Linked DNA regions of Drosophila melanogaster. The protein of the gene in region 1 interacts with the protein of each later gene in a pairwise test. Each region holds a gene or a part of one and is shown in the gene's direction. Other genes may lie near its edges. The genes, in order: mxt, eIF4E5, S6kII and CG14367.

What was found.
Region 2: the proteins of mxt (region 1) and eIF4E5 interact in a two-hybrid assay, tested with the Drosophila melanogaster proteins (one large-scale study listed by BioGRID).
Region 3: the proteins of mxt (region 1) and S6kII interact in a two-hybrid assay, tested with the Drosophila melanogaster proteins (one large-scale study listed by BioGRID).
Region 4: the proteins of mxt (region 1) and CG14367 interact in a two-hybrid assay, tested with the Drosophila melanogaster proteins (one large-scale study listed by BioGRID).

What each region holds. Positions count from the first base shown.
Region 1 is NT_033779.5:4,842,066-4,848,924, reverse strand, and holds mxt (mextli), read left to right. Parts: upstream 1-1,629; 5' UTR 1,630-1,686; exon of another isoform or gene 1,687-1,761; intron 1,762-2,160; exon of another isoform or gene 2,161-2,209; intron 2,210-2,574; exon of another isoform or gene 2,575-2,646; intron 2,647-2,708; 5' UTR 2,709-2,881; coding exon 2,882-3,283; intron 3,284-3,349; coding exon 3,350-3,671; intron 3,672-3,766; coding exon 3,767-3,838; intron 3,839-4,152; coding exon 4,153-4,213; intron 4,214-4,278; coding exon 4,279-4,756; intron 4,757-4,813; coding exon 4,814-5,207; intron 5,208-5,266; coding exon 5,267-5,865; 3' UTR 5,866-6,341; downstream 6,342-6,859. Other genes in the region: CG11927 (uncharacterized protein), read right to left, coding at 1-1,070. UniProt on the Drosophila melanogaster protein: Plays a role in promoting translation.
Region 2 is NT_037436.4:7,893,185-7,896,548, forward strand, and holds eIF4E5 (eukaryotic translation initiation factor 4E5), read left to right. Parts: upstream 1-1,695; 5' UTR 1,696-1,854; coding exon 1,855-2,204; intron 2,205-2,261; coding exon 2,262-2,449; intron 2,450-2,502; coding exon 2,503-2,663; 3' UTR 2,664-2,825; downstream 2,826-3,364. Other genes in the region: CG32365 (uncharacterized protein), read left to right, coding at 51-388, 461-1,310.
Region 3 is NC_004354.4:22,528,196-22,535,963, forward strand, and holds the start of S6kII (ribosomal protein S6 kinase II), read left to right. Parts: upstream 1-1,768; 5' UTR 1,769-2,155; coding exon 2,156-4,307; intron 4,308-4,660; coding exon 4,661-5,244; 3' UTR 5,245-7,768. Other genes in the region: CG17600 (uncharacterized protein), read left to right, coding at 1-386, 547-1,017, 1,075-1,196.
Region 4 is NT_033777.3:13,692,235-13,696,013, forward strand, and holds CG14367 (uncharacterized protein), read left to right. Parts: upstream 1-1,818; coding exon 1,819-1,921; intron 1,922-1,975; coding exon 1,976-2,184; intron 2,185-2,239; coding exon 2,240-2,400; intron 2,401-2,548; coding exon 2,549-3,008; 3' UTR 3,009-3,279; downstream 3,280-3,779. Other genes in the region: f-cup (flyers-cup), read right to left, coding at 3,303-3,408, 3,472-3,657, 3,727-3,779.

The sequences.
Region 1 (6,859 bases):
TACTCCTCGGCCTTCTGTAGTCGTTCCAGTTGCTGCTCGTCCAGCTGGTCGCGCGGCAGCTTCCCCAAACGCTGCACCGTTCGCTTCCAGTTGTGGAACTCACGGTTTTTAAAGGGCTTCATGGCCATACGGTACTCCTTCCACTGGCGCTGGCGCTCCTCCTTCGTACCAGGCGGTGCATCCTCGAGCGGCGGTGGTGCCTCTGGCTTCTGTATCCATTGGCCATTGACCTGGACAAATGTGCCGCAGCGCTTGGGCTTCTTGGAGGGCTGCGCTTCCCCGTTTGACGGCGAATTGTTGCCATTGCTTGGCGGTGGGGGCGGAGGCATAAGCCTCGTATCTTTGTCACTGTTGCCGCGATGGTTTACCTTGAATTTCTTGTTATTCTGGTTTGGATTGCTGCGATTGTTTTGTGCTCCCTGCTCCTTGGGTACCAGATTCCACAAGCTGGGGCACTTGGGCATGGGCGGTTGGATTGGTGGTGGTCTATGTTGTGGCGACATCATGTCCTCCCAGAACGGAGGCGGCTGCAGAGGTCGGTGATTGTGATTCCGGCGGGGCCCAGAACCACGTGGTCCTCCAAAGCCCACTGGACCACCGGGGCCCATACTGCTCATGGGACCACAGGGACCCATATTGCTTATGGGACCGCGAGGTCCTCCTGGTCCCATTGGCCCCATGGGGGGACCGCATTGTCCGGGTCCAGGCCCAAAATTGCCTCCAAAGCCCATGTTCATCAGCTGCATAGGAAGTGGAGGCGGTCGATTCATCGGAGGATAGTTCCTGTCCTGGTAGCTTTGCGGACCTCCGCCTCCATGAAAGGCATTGTTGCTATTCGAAGACCAATGTTTACGTCCGTTGCCGTTGTTGTTATTGTTGTTGTTGTTACTATTGTTATTGTTGCTCCGTTGTAGTCCGCTTTTGGTATCCGGTTTCAGTGCATCCTTGCATTTCTTCCAATCTGCAAACGACATTTTCAGCGGCTTAGTTTCAGGCTCATCTTTGCCGGACTCCGGAACGACTTCCTTGGAATCCTCTGGTGCCGCCTCCACGTCCCCGTTTTCAGACATCTCGCACCTTAGAGAGTGGGAATACACTTTATAAATATATCAACTTAATTTTATTTGAGTTTTGCTTAGCGATGGCAAACAAAAATTTCAATAACAACAAATTGAAGGAACAGCCGATGTTTTCTATCGATATTTTCGTGCTTAAAATTTTAGGGAGTTTCCCCTGAAGTATTTTCTTAAGAGTCCTGTTGTTCTTAAAAAAGAACAGTAGTTTCCAAATGTATTCTCTAAACTTTCCGCTATACCAGTAAATCTTCATTTGTTAACTAGTAAGCGATATATTAATGCCCAACGTAATATAATATATATTTAACATTTTCGATCCCATGCAGACACAACCGGCGGGGAATAGTAATTGCCCAGCGTCCAGATACCATAGTGAATTGTTGGTTATCAGCGATAAGTGTCTGATTTCGTAACATTTATTTCATATTTAAATTTAAATTTTAATACGAACACATCTGTGATGCGAAATTGATGTGAGCTTTTTGACTGCGCTTTACGTGAACTGGTCTGGATAGCTGTGGCGCATCTCTAAAATCTAACGTGTTCGATCAGGTGGCAACACCCACCGTAAAAAACGATTTTAGTCGCAGTCGCAGAGATTTTGGTTTTGGTAAGCTCTAGTAATTTATTGGAAATTACGATCCAAAATACACCGTTTTAAGAGACGTTTCAATCGGCCATTAAAGTAAATAATAAGCGCGACGAAGACTAAACATCAAAAGTGTTGAAACTAGAACGAGAGTGCAAAGTCGGTCGCCAGCAAAACGCGTAGTTTGCTTATTTTAACGAAAAGCGGCCAGTGCCATTAAAATATTACTCAATTTCACAGAGAATTTTGGCCGAAAACGGATGCAATATATGGATATATAGACCCTGTTTCCTGAAAGTTAACTTCCTTTTTGTTCTACGCCCAACACGGTCGTCAACTGCGCTGCCATCGTCGACGTCGGCAGAGGCCATTCTTGTTGTTGCTATTCTCGACATATGATTCAATAGAGCGATCGCCTCTCTCTTTCTCCCTCCCACGGACAATTTCAGTTTTTTGTAATATTTCTGTTAGCTGTGTTTTAGTTGCCCATGTTTGTTTGTTCTTGTTGTTGTTGCTGCTGCTGCTGTTGCTGCAGCGGCAGTAAGTGATATTTAAAAAAGAAATGAGTTGTTCGCATGGAGCGAAAGTCGAACTGAAATAACACAAATGGTCGTCCGTTTGTCGTTCCCATTCGATATATGCCAACAATTTTCATCAATTATTTACATATTTTGCTTTTGGAACTTCGCACCGATTAACTGAGCAGAAGCCAGAAGCTCAGAAGGCGCCAATGGGTTAATTTGGCCACTAAACTATAGATAAATCGCGGTGTTATCAGCTAAAGCCGCTTATCAAACGTGCACATCGTTAAGATATACGAGAGCTTTGCGTCGCAATATTCGAGATTCGGTCGGAAACGAGGCCAATCTCCATATCCTAAGAAACCTTTTGGTTGTCCATGCTCTCGGCCATTACTCCCAAGTTCTAATGCAATATAGTCGGCTTTGATCATCCTAGCAGCTGAAAGCATGTATCCAAATAGTACAATAGTTTTAATGTAAACAATACATTTGATCGATAACTAACCTTTCTTGTGTTTACAGGGGGAGGTGCGGAAACAGCTTCTACGATTCATTTTTGATCAATTCTTCAACAACATTTAAACGAACGAATAAGTTAGCAGACCATATAGACTGAAATCAGCAGATCCGGACACCAGGCGGGACAACCTTAAGACTTCTTCACGAGACGATATCGAATCCAACGAATCCCGAGAATGGCTCACACACACCTGGGACGCGCCGTGAAAAACATTGAGGCGCCACGCCCGTTGAAGACACAATCGCGATCGTCGTTGAAGAACAGCTACCTGGTGATCGAGGAGCTAATCCAGTTGATAGACAACGTGACCGTCGGTCTTCAGTCGTGCAACACCACGCCGGAATCGATCACGCTGCTCCTGCACAACCTCCGGGTGCATGGACCGCAACTGGAGGCGGTGTCCAAGGATACACTGGACCGGGCCTTCGTCGTTTTCCGCAACGCTTCGCAGGACGAACGGCTGAATATAACGACGCGCCTCAAGCTGCTCGAACTCATCGAGCTGCGCGCCAAGAGCTGGGACAATGACGACACAATCGCGTACTACAAGTCCAAGCAGCAGATCTCCAACGTGGAGGTGAGTAGAGTACATAGAATCGATCTCACTTTGGAAAACGATCAAATATGTATCGTTGCTTTGCAGCTGCCTTCGGAATACCAGTACGATGCCGGCGTGCAGCCTGGCGCCTTCAGCACCTCCCCCACATTCGGCGTCAGCGGCGGTGTTGGTGGCGTTAACGATGGAGCCGCAGCCGCCGCTGCCGCCGTCTTCAATGCAGCATCTGCAGCTGCAGCCGCCCAAGCTGCGGCCATTGCGGCCGTGGGCACATCCAACCAGCAGCACATGCTGCTGCCGCCCGGTGAGGTCATTCGTAATTCGGGCAAGTTCCCCAAACCGACCAAGATTCCTGGCAAGACGTACTGCAAGGACGAGGTCGTGATTCGCAATGCTGACTCCGGCAAAGGTAAGTTTTTCAATCAGCTGAGGAGTGTTCTGGAGCACACAGATCTACAGAAATGGTTTTCAATAATGTATTCCTCCATTCCCGTGGCCAAAAAGTAATGGGCATCAAGGGGCGTCGCGTGCACATGATCGAGGAGCTAAGCGAAACCATTATATCGTTTCAAAGAGGTAACTCCAGAGAGCTGGTTTTAATTGTGATCCTCACCGCACCCCCATTTCATTTGGCACGCTTATTTAAATCAATTAATGCCCGGTGGCTTCTACAAAATTTACTAATAGAAATTATAAATACGCATGTTCCAGATTTTGTCCATTCAACGACACCACATTAAGCCAAAATTGATCGTTAAAGGCATTTTGAAATCACATATTTTCATACTGTATATATGCATTTTGTTTTTAAATGTTTTCGCATCCCAATTATTTTTCATAAATATAAATGCTTTTTTCGAGAACAATTATGAATGCCTTGTTTTCATTAGTCAACCCGGGTGCCAAGGAGCGTTTGGTGCAGATTACTGGTCCAGCTGAGGATAAAATTAAGTGAGTAAAGTAAATAAATTAAAGCTAATTTACCTTTATGTCAAAATGTTTTAATTCTACGACAGCTATGCCAAACAACTTATGGAGGACACCATTCGTCGGAACGCCTCGCCGGTGCGCCTGGAACCCGCTCCTGCCGTTGGAGGATCCTGCTCCTCGCTTAACTCGTCCAACTCGGACGACGCCATTGTGCAACCAAGAACGCCAACCGGAAGCAGTTTGGCCAACCGGCTAAGCTTTAACTCGGCCCAAAACTTCATGACCGCCACAGCTGCTGCACAGCAGATCTCGCAGCAGATGCACCACCAAACGCATCACCTGCAGCACCAACAGCAGCAGCAGGTCGCCGCAGTAGCCGCCGCAGCAGCAGCGGCGGCACATGCTCAGGCGACAGCCGCTGCCGGTAAAGTCTTGCGTCCCAATCAACAGCTGCTAATGCACTCATATTCCACAAACGATGCTTCCGTAGGTGAATACAAGTTCACGGTCAACGTGGGCCAGCACCTGATCAAGATCACCGGCGACTGCTGCGAACTAGTGCGCGTGAGTAATGTTGAAGTTTTCAATTGTGAAATTTGTTAAATCCCCTGCGATTTCAAGGTGGCCAAACTCGTGCTCGATGACTATTTTAGCAGCTCGGAGTTTCTGGCATCCATTGAGGCTGGCGCCGCCTTCGACGGCACTTCGCTGGTGACCACGCCATCGACTCCGCTTCCCGGAGCCGGGCCGCCGCAATTTTGGCTGCCCGGCACGGACAGTGGCATTGGACTGAATTGCGTTGTTTCCTCGTCAGCGAACAACAATGGTGAAGGCGACGACGAGGTGTTCGCTGAGCCCAGCAATGGAGGATCATCGACTAGCAATCAGAATGGACTGGCCAGATCGCGTCGCAGCCACTTTTCGCGCAAGGAGTCCACGCCGGAGACCAAGGGCGCTCGGGAAAAGGGTGACTTGGACGATTTGGCAGGCACCAATTCCTTGAAAAGCAATGCATGTAAGATTACAATCCTTTTATGCTTAACCAAGTCTTTGATGCTTAAACTTAAATTACAGCTCGCGTTTCTTACGATATTGAACACTTGCTCTACTACTCCATGAGTCCGCACTCGTGGACCCTGCCCACCGACTGGCAAAAGATGCAGGAGACAGCGCCCTCGATTCTGCGCAACAAGGTAATTTCGCCGTTCGATGGCTCACTTGGCCGTACGGCTTACTCTTCGAACATCCCCGATGCTATCATCGCCAGTGCACCTAACTCATCAGTAATAACACATCCGTGGGCTTTAAATGCAATAACCTCCTCCCCGAACACAAATATCATCAGCACCGCCGTTGGACTAGCTGCTGTCGATGCGTCGGCAGACAACAATCCCCTAACCGTCACTAACAAGCAATCAAAAGGGATCTTCGCCGAACGCGAGAACCGTCGCCTTCCCAAAACATCGGCCGTGTCCGATCGAAACCTGTATAACAAGCAATTGCAAATCATAACTAATACTGTGGGTCAATCGGTGGCAACACAAGGAAAGCATCGCCAGTCTAGCTATCAAACATCACAAGTGAAGGCAATTTTTCAACGCTACTGCGAGGACGATGAGTTTTCATTGGCACTGTGCGAAACAGAATCGAATAATAACCGCGTTTATGTGTAATTTCATTTAATTTCATTTAATTTAATTTAATTTTACGTAGCCGGAATACGTATTATTGAATCTCAGTCACAGATAGGCTTTTCTTTTCATGTCAGTATTTTTGCTGTTTTAATTTTATATAACTTATCATTAAGAAAAGGTGAAGCGTGAAGAACTTGATAATGAATCAAGTCAATACATCATTATCATTATCATCATCCAGTCATTAGATTAACGACATACCATCGAAACCAAACCGATCGCTAGTCTTAGAGGTAACAATACATATAATGCATTGAAATTAAAATGTAACTATAGGGAGAATCTGTGTTTTGGCTGTGAAACAGATTAAGTCGTCGCTAAGGATAAGCTGGAAAGGCGGTTGAAACCGCTTAACCGCTAACAAACAAACATTCTCGAATTCAAACCAACATTTACAAATCTGTAATCAATACGATTTATATTAACTAATAAACAGGACTTTCAAAGTCCGTAACAAAGCTTGGCTGGGTTTAACTTACACCACCACACACCCCACACATTGTAAATTATAAATTGTAACTTGTGTTTTACCACCGAAGCATCATAACATCACCACCTAACCACCACTCCAGATGGCTAACTTAGTTACTAAACTGTTCCGTATGTATATATGTTCGTTCATCCCTGGATAGCTTGCGTGTCAATGTTACTTTGAAATCAGATATTAAACCATTTCTTTGTTCGACAACAGGATCTGCAGGATGAGAGCCAGCGCTTCGATGGTGATAAGTATCTGGCCAGCATTAAGACGGCCGCCAAGCGAGACATTGTGGCTGCCGATGAGGTCGAGACTCTGGACGAATAAAGCCATCAATCGAGCGGCTCGAACTGACAATATAGAGTGTCCCGGGGTGAAGTGCCTGCTCCCAGACGGAGCTGCAGTATGCTTCAATGCTTTTGGCCATGGCCACATCTAACAATCGCAAACTCAAAACGACCAAAACAAAACAAACAAAAAAAAAAGAATATTGAA
Region 2 (3,364 bases), on another chromosome or scaffold:
ACTTATCAATCCCTAAGTATTCTAAATCACTTTATAATCCTAAATTTCAGACCGAAACCAATTGCGAGATGTACCGAGCGGTGATGGAGGAGGTGGCCCGCTTCTTTGAGCGCTACCAGTTGCAGCAACAACTCCAGCAGACCCAACGCAATGGAGAGCAGATTGCCCGCTCCAAGAGTCTGCATCATGTCCACGGAGTGGGCAACACCTCCCTGCAGAGCGATGCTCGGGATGATGACGCCTCCAGCGGCGGATCAGCTTCATATCTACGCGCCCGGAGCAGCACCAATTTGATGTTGAATAAATCAATGCATGCCATGGACGAGGAGCACAATTACGAGACGATTGCACCAGCTGGAAGCTATAATGCCTTCAAGGATTTTACATGGTAAGGGGAGATCAATAGCAGTGCTAATAATTTTCAAACAATTAATAACGAAATGTCTTCTCTCTGCCAAAGGCGTCGATCCCCGAAGAAGTCTGGAGGCAGTGGCGGTTGCAAGTCACGTCTATCGGCTCCTGAGGCAGCCGAGGAAAAGCTGAATCAGGAGGCCTTTCGTTTGGCCAGAACCATAAGGAATCTTTTGCACACCTCGGAACAGCAACCAGATCTCACGCAGCCGCGCCACTCGCTCGCTTCCATTTCATCGCTGCCCTCGGGAAATCACCGCCTATGCAAGGGGAAAACCAGTTCGGTGATGACACTACTGACGCCACCATTGCACAATTCCACCAGTATCATGAGTGCCACACTGGAGACTCCATCACCGGGCGGGAAATCAAATGCGGAACTCATCTTTCTGCGGGCCAACAACATGCGCGACTCGAGGCTATCGTTGCGCAGCTCCACCGACAGTTCCGTGCATTCCACCATCTCGTCGACGGCATCCTCCTCCTCGAAAGTGGAAACGGATGAGGAGACGCAGACACAGACCACCGCCAGCAACACAGCCATCAGCAATAGCAATAACAAAACCACCAGCAATAAGCAGAGCGGTTCCAGTACCGAGGATGAGAGTGGCTTCAGTTCGATTAGCTCCTTTCACGATGTCGGCTTGCCCCTGAGTTCCACCTTGATGAATGGAAACCAGCGACGCCTGTCCATGTCCTCGGACAGCAGGAACTCCACACTAAAGTCCGGATTAAATATGGTGGGGCTGCCCATGCAAAATCAGACTCAAGTTCAAGTACAGGTTCAAGCTCAGATATCAACCGCTCCATCGCCCTCGAAAACCTATCGCAATGCGAATCGCTACCAGCGCTTCTCCACTTTGTCCAACGAGGATGCAGCCGCTGTTTTATGGGTCTAGACGGGTGGATGATTCAAAACCAGCCTTGAGATAATTTATTAACGTATTTCTAAAAGAATTGAGAATCTTTTCAAATATGGTTACGAAAACCGTGTTTTTTTTTATTTTGAACACCCCGTAGCTGTTTCGATTTGTTTTCTCTAGTGCCTCCGCTTAGTGTTTAATTGACCATTGGAATAGAGTGCATACATTTTCATTTTGTATGTTATTATTTTTTTTTTTAAGGACCAAGCGCGCATTTCTATGTTAACAATATGTAAATTGATTTGTCTTAAGTTTTGCAGTATTTATAAATGAATAAAAATAATTTATATTAAAAGAAAAAACCAGCATAGTATGCTTACACCCAGGTGTCATTGTCATTTCATTTCCTTCTTTTCGACAGGTTTCGTTTAGGTCTAGAAAAATGTGCTAAAGTATTTTTGGTTATTAGTAAGCAATTCCCACTCGAATCGCGACAAAATTCGTTGAGAACACAGCCGTCAGCAAATAAATTAAGGTTACCTGTTCGTATCGAAAAAAAAAAAACAAGTCAACCAACAACATGGCCAGTGCACAAGTGCAAAGTTTTGATATTATGAAGCAGCAGGATCAGCAACATCAGCTGAATAGTATCCATAAGCATCATCATCACCACGAAGGTGTTCCACTGGAGAGCAATAGCCCAGAACCTATCGATGAAGAGATATACCAAGTCGAGTACAAGCATCCTTTGGAGCATGTGTGGACTTTGTGGTATTTGGAAAACGATCGCACCAAGCACTGGAAGGACATGCTAAACGAGATTACCGAGATTGACAGTGTGGAGACCTTCTGGAGCTTGTACCATACCATCAAGACCCCAGCGGAGCTGAAGATTGGATGCGATTACTCCGTGTTCAAGAAGGGCATAAAGTACGAATAAATCATTGTTCATTGAGAGATGCTAACTTAAATCCTCTACTCCCAAAGACCCATGTGGGAGGATGAAGCCAACATCAAGGGTGGTCGCTGGCTGGTCACCGTGAGTAAGAGTGCCAAAGCGGAATTGGATCAAATTTGGCTGGACATTCTACTGCTGATGGTGGGCCAAAATTTTGAATACTCCGACGAGATCTGCGGAGCTGTCATCAATATACGTAACAAGAGCAACAAAATCTGTAAGTTTATCAAATGTGTTCTGCACATTGATAAAAAACTGTATCTATTACAGCGGTTTGGACTGCCAACGGGAGTAACGAAATGGCCATTCTGGAGATCGGCCAGAAGCTGAAGATACTCCTTCATTTGCAATCGCATAGTTTGCAGTATCAACTTCATTCCGATGCAATGTCCAAATTCAATTCGGGCGTCAAATCGGTTTATACACTCTGAAAGCGATTGTTTAGGTCCTCTACGTTAGTATATTTTTATTTTTGTACACCAGATTCGTAAGTGTGGAAGATATGATTGGCTTGGTGTATATGAATATTTACTTGGAATTGCCCCTACAAAATTGTTCTATAGACTAAATTAAAAACCTAATTTTCTATGCGCAACAATTGCATCTTTTCGGGTGAGATTGTGGTAACTGTCGAAGTTTGTGTAATTCGTTGCCTACTTTGCAGCTTCAAAGCTAAGAATAAAAAATGCTTTGATTTAAAAATGTTTTCCTTTAATCATTGTTCATATATTAACTTAAACATCTTCATGCTTTGAACGCCTTACGACTTAGGGTCGTAATTGCCTACTCAAGCAAAATCGTTGAGTTATAATCAATATGGTAAGATAGGGTTTTTAAAAAATTTACTCAGTAAACATTCACAGCTTGTTGCGGTGTGGCGATCATCCGACCGAAAACCATCCGAATCGATCGTTCGGTGCGTGCGTGAATTCGATCCCTAGTCACTGCAATGAGTAGTTGATTACATTTAGCGACGCGACACAATTATACGGGCACGGGAGTACACATATGGAGAACTATTTACAAGTTAATCATGATCAATCGACAGCTCGGGCAAACGCTTCAACATTTGCGAGCCTTCCTATCGACAGGTGCAACTTAACAATACATTTTACAATCTAAACAATATTGG
Region 3 (7,768 bases), on another chromosome or scaffold:
GCATGGATACCATTGTGGATCGCAGCCTGAATCCTGAGGAACTCCATCAGGTGGTGACCACCATCGAACATAGCACGAATACCACGAACTTGGCGGGATCGGGCGGTAGTCTGACCAACTCGCAAATCGGCATGCTTCAACGGGATGAGAATCGAAAACAGCAGGAGGACCAGGAGCAGGCGCGCCAGGATGCCCAAAGTCACATCTATTCGAGTCCTGTCTACGATGAGAAGCCGCCGGCGGTGAAACTCCTATCCGCCGCCCTAGACTTGGATGCCCAAAAATCCCAGGCAAACAATGATGACGATAATAAGCCCAATCTTATTTCGCACCAAGAGTTCAAACAACAGCTGCAGGAAGCTATTGCTTCGCGGCAACCAAACCAGGTAGGTCCTACAAAAAGTCAACCAAAATTAATCAATTTGTATCAGTTGAATCACCTAATAGGGCTAGAGAATCTTTAATTGTCCATTTCTGTACTGCCTTGCTCTCATTAATCCTCAGACAATCGAATATTGTACCAAACACATTTTTTCTTCTGTGCAGGTGAATGGCACTAAGAGTGGGGCCACCACTTTGGACTCCAGGATCAGTCGTAAACAGCGCTGTCCACCGGAATTTATTAAGTACAAGGAGGGCAGCGAGGGTGGAGGCAGTGGCTCATCGCTTTCCTCGAAAGATCGGCGCAAGCGCAAGGCGAGCAATGAATGCTGCTCGGCATTTCCACTGCAAATAGTGTTGGGCACTCTCCAGTTGCTCCTGGCCATATCGCTGGTGGCCCTGGGATCACTTCTGATCGTCCGAGAGGCAGCGCTCTCACTGGCGGGATGCGGCATCTGGACGGGATTGATAGCAGCCGTTACGGGCTCCCTTGGAGTGGTGAGCATGCGCAAAACCCAGACAGCGTTTTTGGCCCTCAGTTTGGTCTGCATCGCCAGCAGCACCCTGGCTCTGGCTATTTCCGGCGTGGGATTGTCAAGGGACCTCAACAGGATGGCGGAGCAAAAGGGTGAACAGGTAAAGCCGGGCTCTTCGCATTGAGGCATGTTTTTTTAATGGTTTCATCCATTCTAGTTCGACTTGATCGATACCAACAGCGAGGTTTCCGCTGCCTGCGGCCTAATTTTTGCCCTGTTTCTTCATTTTGTGGTCAGTATTGTATCCGTCTATCGTTGCGCCCTTCAGATTTGCACTAAGTAAGTAAGCTACTCCTACTACTCCTACTTTTATATATGAAAAGTGGTTGTTGTCCACTTTTGAAGCAATAATAATACTGAATCTATAAGCACAATGTTTTTTTTTTTATTGTTTTTAAAAGCGCTTGTACGATATCCATTAGTTTTTTACCAATTGAATTTGGAATGTTGCGGCTAATATAAGTAAGTAAGTCTGCAAAACCGTTGTATTTATTTAGCAAAGTTTCCGGAAATCAATATAAAAGGGATATAGAAATTTATAATAACGGTTTTTAGACGGTTTACACAAGATAACTTGTTTCGTGACGACGTTTTCGTAATGAATTGGTATTTTTCGCGTTTGGTATATTGCTAGACACGGTCACACGGGCCAAATCATTCTCAAATAAAACTATATTTATATGTTTTTTTTTTTTTAATTGAGTTATATAGACTTTTAAAACCGAAAGAATGTATTAAAAGTGTAAACAAAAATTTGCTGAATACGCACAGTAAAAACATCGGCTGCAAAAAGTAAATCGATGTTTTCGGAAAACTGAAACTATCGATGTAATCGATGGTAACATCGATTTTTTTGCAGCTCTAAAAAAACTTTATTGTGAATGTGTAAATAATAGTGATAAGAAGCAACACAGCTGTGCGGATTGCGAAGCGGATAGTAAAGCAGACGGCGTACGAAACGTGGGCGCATTAGGAAAGCGCTGCTTGTTGGCCGTAGGAGCAGCAGGGAAACCAGAGAAATCCGGAGAGGCAACAGCGCAGTCGACTGCGACGCCCACGCAGCGGAAGTAATAAAAAAGAAAAGTGAAATCGGAAGTAGGGAGAGTTCGGTGGAGGAGGAGCAGCAGGAGGAGTTGGAAACGCAGGGGGAACTCGGGCTCTAGCATTGTGCATCAGGATCTGGAAACAAAGGAACCGCTAGGAGCAGTTGCCTCACAACGCTAGCAGCCACCGAAGTCATGCCGCTGGCCGATTCGCAAAAGGATCTCCGCCAGCAGCCTCAGCAGCAGCAGCAGCAGCAGCATGTGTCCTCCACCAGCAGCAGCAACAATGCGGAGCAGCAATGCAGCAGCAGCGGATTGGGTCTGCAGCTGCGCCAGCGCATGCAAATTACCTCGTCCGGCTGCAGCAGCCTGGCGGTCACGCCCATGGAGCACACGCCCACCGAGGACGATGAGAGTGGCGGAGGCAACAGCGGTGTCACTTCCTCGGTGACCACTGTGACATCATCGCAACGCCGCCAGCAGCTGCAACAGGTGCAACAGCAATCTGCTCTGCAAGCGGCCCTCGAGCAGCATCACATCTCACCAACAGCAGACTTGGATTCCGCTAGGAAAAGGCCGACGCATCGAACCTTGTGCCCGCCGCCAGAACTTATGGAGCTGAGTGATTCCGAGTCCCAGGGAGGCGTGGAAACTGGCGGTAGGAGAGAAGGGGCTACTGGGCGAAGTGCACCTGATTTAGAAGACACCGAGCCCCTATATGAAACAGAAAACGAATTCGAGCTTAAGGAAGTCATCAAGGAGGGTCACGACAAGGCCGATCCTTCCCAGTTCGAGCTCCTACGGGTTCTGGGCGAAGGTAGCTTTGGAAAGGTGTTTCTAGTGCGAAAGATCATAGGCAAAGATGCAGGAACACTCTATGCCATGAAGGTGCTCAAAAAGGCCACCCTAAAAGTAAAAGATCGCGTAAGGAGCACAAATGAACGAAAAATACTAGCGGACGTGGGTCATGCTTTCATCGTACGTCTTCACTATGCCTTCCAAACTCCCGGAAAACTCTACTTGATACTGGATTTTCTTCGTGGCGGTGATCTGTTTACCCGTCTATCCAAAGAAGTAATGTTTACGGAAGAAGATGTCAAGTTCTATTTAGCGGAACTGGCGCTAGCTATGAATCACCTACACACATTGGGCATTATCTACAGGGATCTGAAACCGGAAAATATTCTACTGGACGAGCATGGCCATATAGCCTTGACGGACTTTGGTCTATCCAAGCAGCCTTTGGATGGCTCAAAAACATATAGCTTTTGTGGAACCGTAGAATACATGGCGCCGGAGATCGTGAACCGAAAGGGACACGATTTTGCCGCTGATTGGTGGAGTTTCGGGGTGCTCATGTACGAAATGTTAACGGGGAATTTACCCTTTCATGGCCAAACCCGCCAAGAGACTATGAATCAGATCCTTAGAAGTAAGCTGGGCATGCCGGAGAATTTGTCGCCAGAGGCGCAATCCCTGCTACGTGCTCTCTTCAAAAGAAACCCCCAGAATCGTTTGGGTGCGGGTGCCCAAGGAATTCTGGACATCAAGGCGCACTGCTTTTTTGCCACCATCGACTGGGTGAGATTAGAACGAAAGCAGGTGCGTCCGCCTTTCATACCGGCGGTTAGCCGTGACGATGCCTTTTACTTTGATGTGGAGTACACCTCAAAGTCCCCCAGGGATTCTCCGGGTGGCCCGATCTCCGCATCTGCCCATGAGATCTTCCGCGGGTTCAGCTTTGTGGCTCCTGTCCTTCTGGAAGGTCAGTGTGCTGGCTCGAATATGTGCTCCACCAGCGCCAGTCCTCTGCATAGTATAGCTCCTATTCCTGCTGCTCCAGTGGGAGCCCCTCGAACATTACCTGGTGTTCTTCCCGGAAACTTCCATGCGGAATATAATCTACTGCAAGAACTGGGACGTGGAACCTTTTCAGTTTGTCGGTTGTGCGAGCATCGAGCCTCCAAGAAACATTACGCAGTAAAAGTAATCGAAAAGGCAGCTGTGGCCGCAGCATCCACATCCACTTCTGCCGATTGTTGGGAGGAGGTGGAGATTATGCTGAGGTACGGCAACCACCCAAATATCGTCACTCTGTACTCTGTTTACGAGGATGCGGGGTCCGCATATCTTGTGATGGAGCTGCTTAAGGGTGGCGAGCTTCTCGATCGGATACTTGCCGTGGGCCAGATGTGCGAGAGTGAGGCCAGCGCGGTGTTAAGGACAATTGCATCTGCGGTAGCATATCTCCATGAACATGGCGTGGTCCATCGAGATCTTAAGCCTTCAAATATGATATATGCCAGTATGCGGCAAACTCCCGAGACCCTAAAGCTCTGCGATTTGGGTGAGTGCGGAGCGGAACTAGTTAAATATATTTTATTATAGCCTTGCAGTAAATTTTCCAATTGCTGACAAACATGATTCACTTTAAAAGCTAAACTTTCGTAATTTTTAATTCCTTTAACTATTATTTGTTTTCTAAGTTACTTTGTTATTTGCAATTTTAAAGGTTTCTTTTCTCCAAACAGAAGGTTTTTCATTTTAAGATCTTATTTAGCCAAAGTTCCATCCTATTGCAATTGAAATCATTTGATAATATTTAAATTCAGAAAGCATTTATTTCTGCAAGGCTATATATTTTTCTGTGCGAGTATTTCTTGTTGGTAGAGCAGGAGTAACCTTCCGATTTCCGCTTAGGTTTCGCGAAGCAGCTGCGCGCGGACAACGGCCTCCTGATGACGCCATGCTACACAGCCAATTTTGTGGCTCCCGAGGTTCTAAAGAGACAGGGCTATGACCTGGCTTGCGACATCTGGTCGCTCGGTGTGCTGCTTTACATCATGTTATCCGGCCGGACGCCTTTCGCCAGCACTCCAAATGATTCACCGGACGTAATACTGAAGCGCATCGGATCAGGACAAATTGACTTCACAAGCAGTCGCTGGGCACTGATCAGTGTGCCGGCCAAAGAACTTTTGCGTCAGATGCTACACATAGTACCGGAGAATCGGCCGACGGCGGCGCGAATACTTGAGCACGACTGGCTGCGGGAGCAATTCGCCGGCGGCGTACAGCTTACAGAGTATGCGGTGGCGCCCGGATCCCAACTTTCGCTGGGCGCCCAGCAGCAGCAGCAGAATCACATCTCCATGGCCTTAAGAGGCGCTGTTGATGCCACTTTCCGGGCTATTGCCATACCCCAGGCGGCGAATGTGGGACCCGTAGAACTTTCCATGCTCGCCAAGAGGCGGGCCAAAGATCGAGCCAACCTGCACTCCTAATCCTGGGCGGCTGCATGGTGTCCGCGGCGCCAGGCCAAGCGGCAGATAGTCCGACTACTTTTCCGAATCTATAGTATTCTAATCCAATGCTGCTGTGCCAATCCGCGTCGTCTTGTCAAGGACAATGCGCAGAAGCTTGGTTCACATCCACAAACGCTGGGCAATCCTCGCCAACGCTGCCGCAGCGCCAAGCTGCGTGTGGTTTAGGTTTTGGGGGAATCGGCCTAACCTAAAGTATTTGACAAGTGTTAATTATTTATTTTATATGAAAGCATGCCAATATGCCAAGGCCATAACGCACTGTGCGGGGCATCTATATACACATATATATAACTATACAAATACTGATATACATCTATATATAGCTATTTATATAACGAATCCTAAAGCAAGGGCCTAGAGAGCGCGTGTGAATGTGGCGCCAGGATCATCCCAGATGATTCCTGAAACCACATTATTTATCCCAAACTGGAAATTAAAAAAAAGCCTCTCGCCCAAGTTTACATATTTTTAATTAAATTAATCGTAGCTAAATTTTTCAACATCACCGTGTTATTGTTGCTTAATTAAATTAATTAAAATGAAAAAAAAAATGGAAAAAAGTATTAGCAAAACAAACAAAAATTAAGAATAAAAGCCGCAATCCTTTTATATAATAATAACTTTTTTCGCCAAACTATAAAGGAAGAACAAAGAACCCAAAAAAAACTGTGTAGAAAGATAAGAAAATCAAACCACAAGAGTTTCCACAATTCTTACTTGGAATGTCAATTTGCACAATGAAATATGAAACTAAGCAAAAGATAAACATAACTACCATATTATACAGAATGTGTACATAAAGCGGAAACTGTGCTTTTCGGGTTTATAAGGCAAAGGATATTAGAAAAGAGTATTTTATTAATAATTCCCTAAACAATAAAAACCGACGTTCTTTCCAACACTGCACAAGGGTGCATATTGTTATTTAATTGTAATTAAGAAACGTAAATCCTGCTAACTTGTCTTACAGTCGCGAAACGCACAGTTTAGTTGTAATAACGCCGGGGAAACAGTTGTGACAACATCAAATTGGGTTTCCATTTTGTTTGCTAACGTCTTCCAACAGAAATTATATCAAACAATATACCTTTTTGCGCTGTAACCAGATATAGAAAGTTCCGACTTACCATTGGATGATTTAGAACCGAAACCGCGATATATTCCATCATACTCGTACTGAATACAAATAGGATAGCGTCGTATAAACGACTTGGGTTAATGCAGAGAATTCCATTTGTTTGTGCTAGTTTCTCTAAAAACTGCACGATCATCAGTTCCCAACAACTTGTTTCGACTCTTCGAAGACAATTCCAATTTTGTTGTATTTTTGCCAAGGAAAACTTGTTAAAATTATGCTAGAGGGAAATATACAAAAAAAAAAAAAGAAAATACAAGCAAAGTGGAACGAAATTGAATAAATTATGTAGAAGAGCCATGTGAATCCTTAGAAGCTATGTATGCCACTTGAAAAGCAGAAGTTTCTTGTTTGCGAGCTTGTGTGTGTGCATAAGAGGCTGTGTGTGTGCTTCTTGTAAGTGCATGTGTGTGTGTGCTAAAGGATTATTGTGCTGTGCCACTACTGAACTTACTGCTACCAAAAATAAAACAATAACTTCATATACATATTTACACCACCTAAACAAGGTTAGTAAAACTTAGAAATTTTTTAAAAAAGGATAACATCCCTTGAATAAAACTGTATTTTCGTGGTGTTATTAAAAGGAGTTGGAGGGGGAAAATGGTATGATTATCCTAAAGTACATATATAATTAGCTAGCTGCGGAGGGAAAACAATGTGTACACATTGACATATAATATAGAAAATATTTAAGAAGGATCTTGAGATGAACATTTCGCCTAATAGTTGTCACGATAAACTTTTGCAAAATATGTTGCGTCTACAGCAATGATTTATACTTAATTACCTTGTTTTGAAATGACGACAACCAAATTGAAGGGATACGTCGTTTCCCTGCTTCGTTTTTTAACAGATTCATACACAAATTATAAAACGAAGTTGAGACAGGCAGAAAAAGAATTTTAGTCCACGGGCTGATGAGAAATCTAATCCAGCGATTAGATTAAAACTCATGTATACAAAAGTGGCCTACTATGATAAAAACTGTAATCATTTATCAATAATTCCGAACGGTCTCTTACAAAAATGTTCGGGTTGCACAAAAAGGACAGAGACAACAGATAGTTTAAGCATACAATACAAGCAACCCACTTTAAAGCCAACTCTCGACTAAATTCCCCAAGAACATACATATATATCTTAATCATATATATGAATGCGTGAATATATTTTCTTAGTAGATTTTAACAGCTTCCAGACTATACATACATTCAAATGATTGAATTCCGATATGAATCATTTAATTAATAAACATATTCAACGAAACTGATTCGAAATTATTGTTAAGTTGAATTTTTCAAACCAAGCAGAAGGAACCTAATTGAAAAACAAATAACCAATTCG
Region 4 (3,779 bases), on another chromosome or scaffold:
TGAACAGCAGCAGCAGCGCCAGCGCAATGGAGGTGTGGTCAGGTGGTGAGGGAGATTTGTATACAGCCAGCGCCAGCACATCCATTTGCAATGTCTATCGTATGAGATCGTATGAGTTAACAGATCCTGTGAAGTTGGCTGCTGGCCCAGAATGTTTGTGCAATACTTTCGTGTCGATATTTAAATAACAATTGCAAAAGGGTGTATTTAGTTCTAAAGCCTAGACTTAACCATTTTTACGATCCTTCTCACCATTGAGATGGATTTTCTGCCAATTGTACTATCACTATCACGATACAGCGCTGTTTTCACTTGACAATTTCATTAAATAATTCTTATCGCGAAAGCATTTTATGAAAGTTTCTATTGCAAGCAGTGCTGTAAATAGATGTTTTTAATTTTAAAATTTAAACTATTCCCACAGCAGTAAAATGTTTTTTTTTCCATTAGGATTGCTTCTGTTTTTTGTGTAATTGCGATTGTTTTCTGAATATCAACCAGATTGCCAGGGCCAACTTGACGAAGTTTGTTAGCCGGCCCCTTGAGTTAAATGCAGATAACACTTGAACCCAATGAACCTTGTATATAATTTAGTCACTCTCAATGCGCGATTAGTTGATAACTGCCCTTGCACCACTGACGCCGACATTAAACGCATATATTTGCACTTGGAGATATCGAAATCTTTGCACATTATCGTGCTGTTCGAAATCCAGAGTCTTGAGATGTGTTGTCTGTGTAATTGACTGTGTAATTACAAACAATTGTTGCGCTATCCTTGCATTATTGAAACACACAAACAAAAACACAACACACATCAATAAATTATTAATGATAATGATAACAAATAGGACGTAAAGTTAAACTAATGTGGGGCAAACAGACATCAGCAAGCAGAGATAACAATAAAATAAAGTCTTAAGTAAAATAGTCTTCTTGAGTTTTCGAGTAAGTTTTTTTCGTATTTAACTATAATATTAATTTGTATTTAACGAATGTAGTAGGGCTCACTTGGAACCAATCCAATCCAATTCAATCCACACTCATACGCTCGCTCACACACTGAAACCAATTGACATCCCACAGCTACACTGACAGAAAGTAATAAAGTTATTTGTTAATAATCGTATTTGCCATGTGCGTTGCGTACTGTACTACATTTATTTATTTTAGTGTTTAAAGAACTTGTCACTGCAAACGGTTTCCCCCGAGCAACCGATCGTTCCCACTCCCGAAGTCCACGATCTATACCTATGATAGTACACCAATAAAATAGACGGGGAATACGTGTATCCAAACATTTGTCCTTCCAAGTTGATGTTTTTGTTTGTTTGATTGAGCAGCATTAACAAGAACAAGGATAACAACAAGAAACAGAAACGAAAACAAAACAAAATGATAATGAAAACGATAACGAAAACTAAGCGTAAACGTAAAGCGACAACACTATAGTTTATACATAGTATTTATATGAATCGTGTATTGTATATGATATGCTGTCTAATCCCTAATCCTAACACATACCCATTACGTCTATAATTTGAATATTTTATTTAGTTGTTAAAACATCCGTGCGTAAAATGCGATATATATAACTCTATATTATTATTATGAGTAAATTAAATAATAGTTTTTAATAGTTTTTAAACAGAAACAAATGGCAAAGCTCTCAAGTTGTTATTTTATTCAATATAGCAGCAAATACCTGACTGTCAGGTGTTTGGTGCTGGGTGGTTTTTCATTTGCCATGGCAACCGATTCAAGGACCAAACAAATGTCGACTATGCAGTTTAGTCACTTCTTTCAATTGTAGCTAAAATGTCGGTGGAAGACTCCTGGGTTTTCGATTCGCTGGTGTGCTTCCTGCACGGGCCCATTTGGAATGCTCCGCTTCAGACGTTCATAGAGCAAAAGTCCTTAGGTGAGAAGTCCACTCAGAAAATGTAATCGCCAGTAACGCAGGGATTTGGTGCAGTCTTCGATCCCAACCAGCAGTTGGATGAGAACAATCCGGACATACTGCAGATACACGAGGAATACAAGAATCTGGTGGACTACATGCTCGGCAGCTTCATGGAGGAGATGCAGATATCACCGGAGCAGTTCGAAATGGCCTGTCTGGAGGGTAGGCAGCAGGGTCAGGGCGAGAATCCCTTTCATTTCCACCAGGTGCTTTTCCAGCAGGTATGTGCGGTCGCACGATCTCACACAGTCGTGTCTCCAAGATGTCATCTTTCAGATATGGGCCGCCAACGATCTGAAGATATTCATACGGATGATGACGCAACGCAACGTGGAGCTTCAGCTGCAGGCCCTGGATCTCATAGAGAAAAATCAATTAGCCCCTGGTGGCGTCGAGGAGGGGGATGACCGCAGTGCGGACGCTAGCTCGGATCCAGGGTGGGTAATGATGTCTTATGCAATTGTAGGCACTTTGCCAACCAAATTGTACACGGGTTTTGGTAATTAGTAATCAATACTTCTTGTTTTTTGGTCATTATTCTATATCGCATATATATATTATATATGAACATTATACTTTGAACAGGGATACCGCCTCCGAGGTGGAACAAATGATAGCCAAGACGGTGTCTGACGAACTGGAGAGCCCCGAAGCGGCCCTAACTCCAGAGCAGGAGCCCAATCTGGAGCTGGTTAACGACAAGTTCCAGCGCCTGAATCTGTTCTTCGAGCAGGAGGATCGTGTGGACCCCAGTGATGTTGTCTCGCGGCAGGAGTACCTGCGCCAACAGCGTGACAAGATTGTGGAGATAAAGAAGCAGACGCGTGCAAAGCAACTGCAAGAGACCATGTCCCGCGGTACTCCACATGCACCGGAAGGAGCACGTCCCAGCTCCGCGTTGGTGGCCCAACAGCTGCTCGAGAATGGCGGCCAGACTAAGGAGCTCTCCATGCCGGCACCACTAGAAGCTGAGGAGAACGCTGCCCTGCAGCTCAGACGCAATCTTGCCAAGCGCTTGCGCAGCGAAGTGGTTGAGCAGAAGTGAAAGAAAGGACGCACTTTTTTCCCTACTATTCCCATTTATTGCAGATACTCAGCCAGGATTAACAACGTGCATTAGGTATTGTGGCATGCAGACTAGTTTGGTTGGTTGATGCACGGTGTGTGTCGTATGTTGTACTTGTAACGCCACCCCTCATCCATGTCCACAAACAGCCAATCCATAGATTGATTGTTTGTGGGCATGGTCGAGCGGATCTATCAATTTCCATTACGCTATTCCTCAAAATAAACATATTGCTAGTGAAGTGTTTCTCAAAAAACGGTGTGAATTGCTCTTCTATGTGGGTATGCGATCGCGCAAATACGACATGATGGCGTCAGTGCCCTTCATCAGGATTTGGTGGCGGGGCTGTCGAAATGGATTGCCCACCAGCTCCAAGTGACTGCAATATACAGAGAAAATAAGTTTGGCTCCAAACAATATATATCCCCAGCAAGGATCTTACGTTATGTTTGTCAGGTTCCCCAAAATTGGTGGCACTGTCTCGATGTCGTTATTGCGCAAATCCAATGTGCTCAAACGTCGCATGTTCTGCAGACCCGATACATTTAACATTTTTATGTGGTTCTCACTGGCAATGAGGATCTCCAGGCCTTGCAGCTCGTACACACAGTTGGGAATACACGGAAAGCTGAAAATAAACAAGTGGGAAGTTTAAATAAAGCTACATAGTTTAGAAAAGATATTTCCCAATACCCACCGATTGTTTGCAATGTTTAGTTCACGCAGTGTATTCAAGACACCAAACTCCGT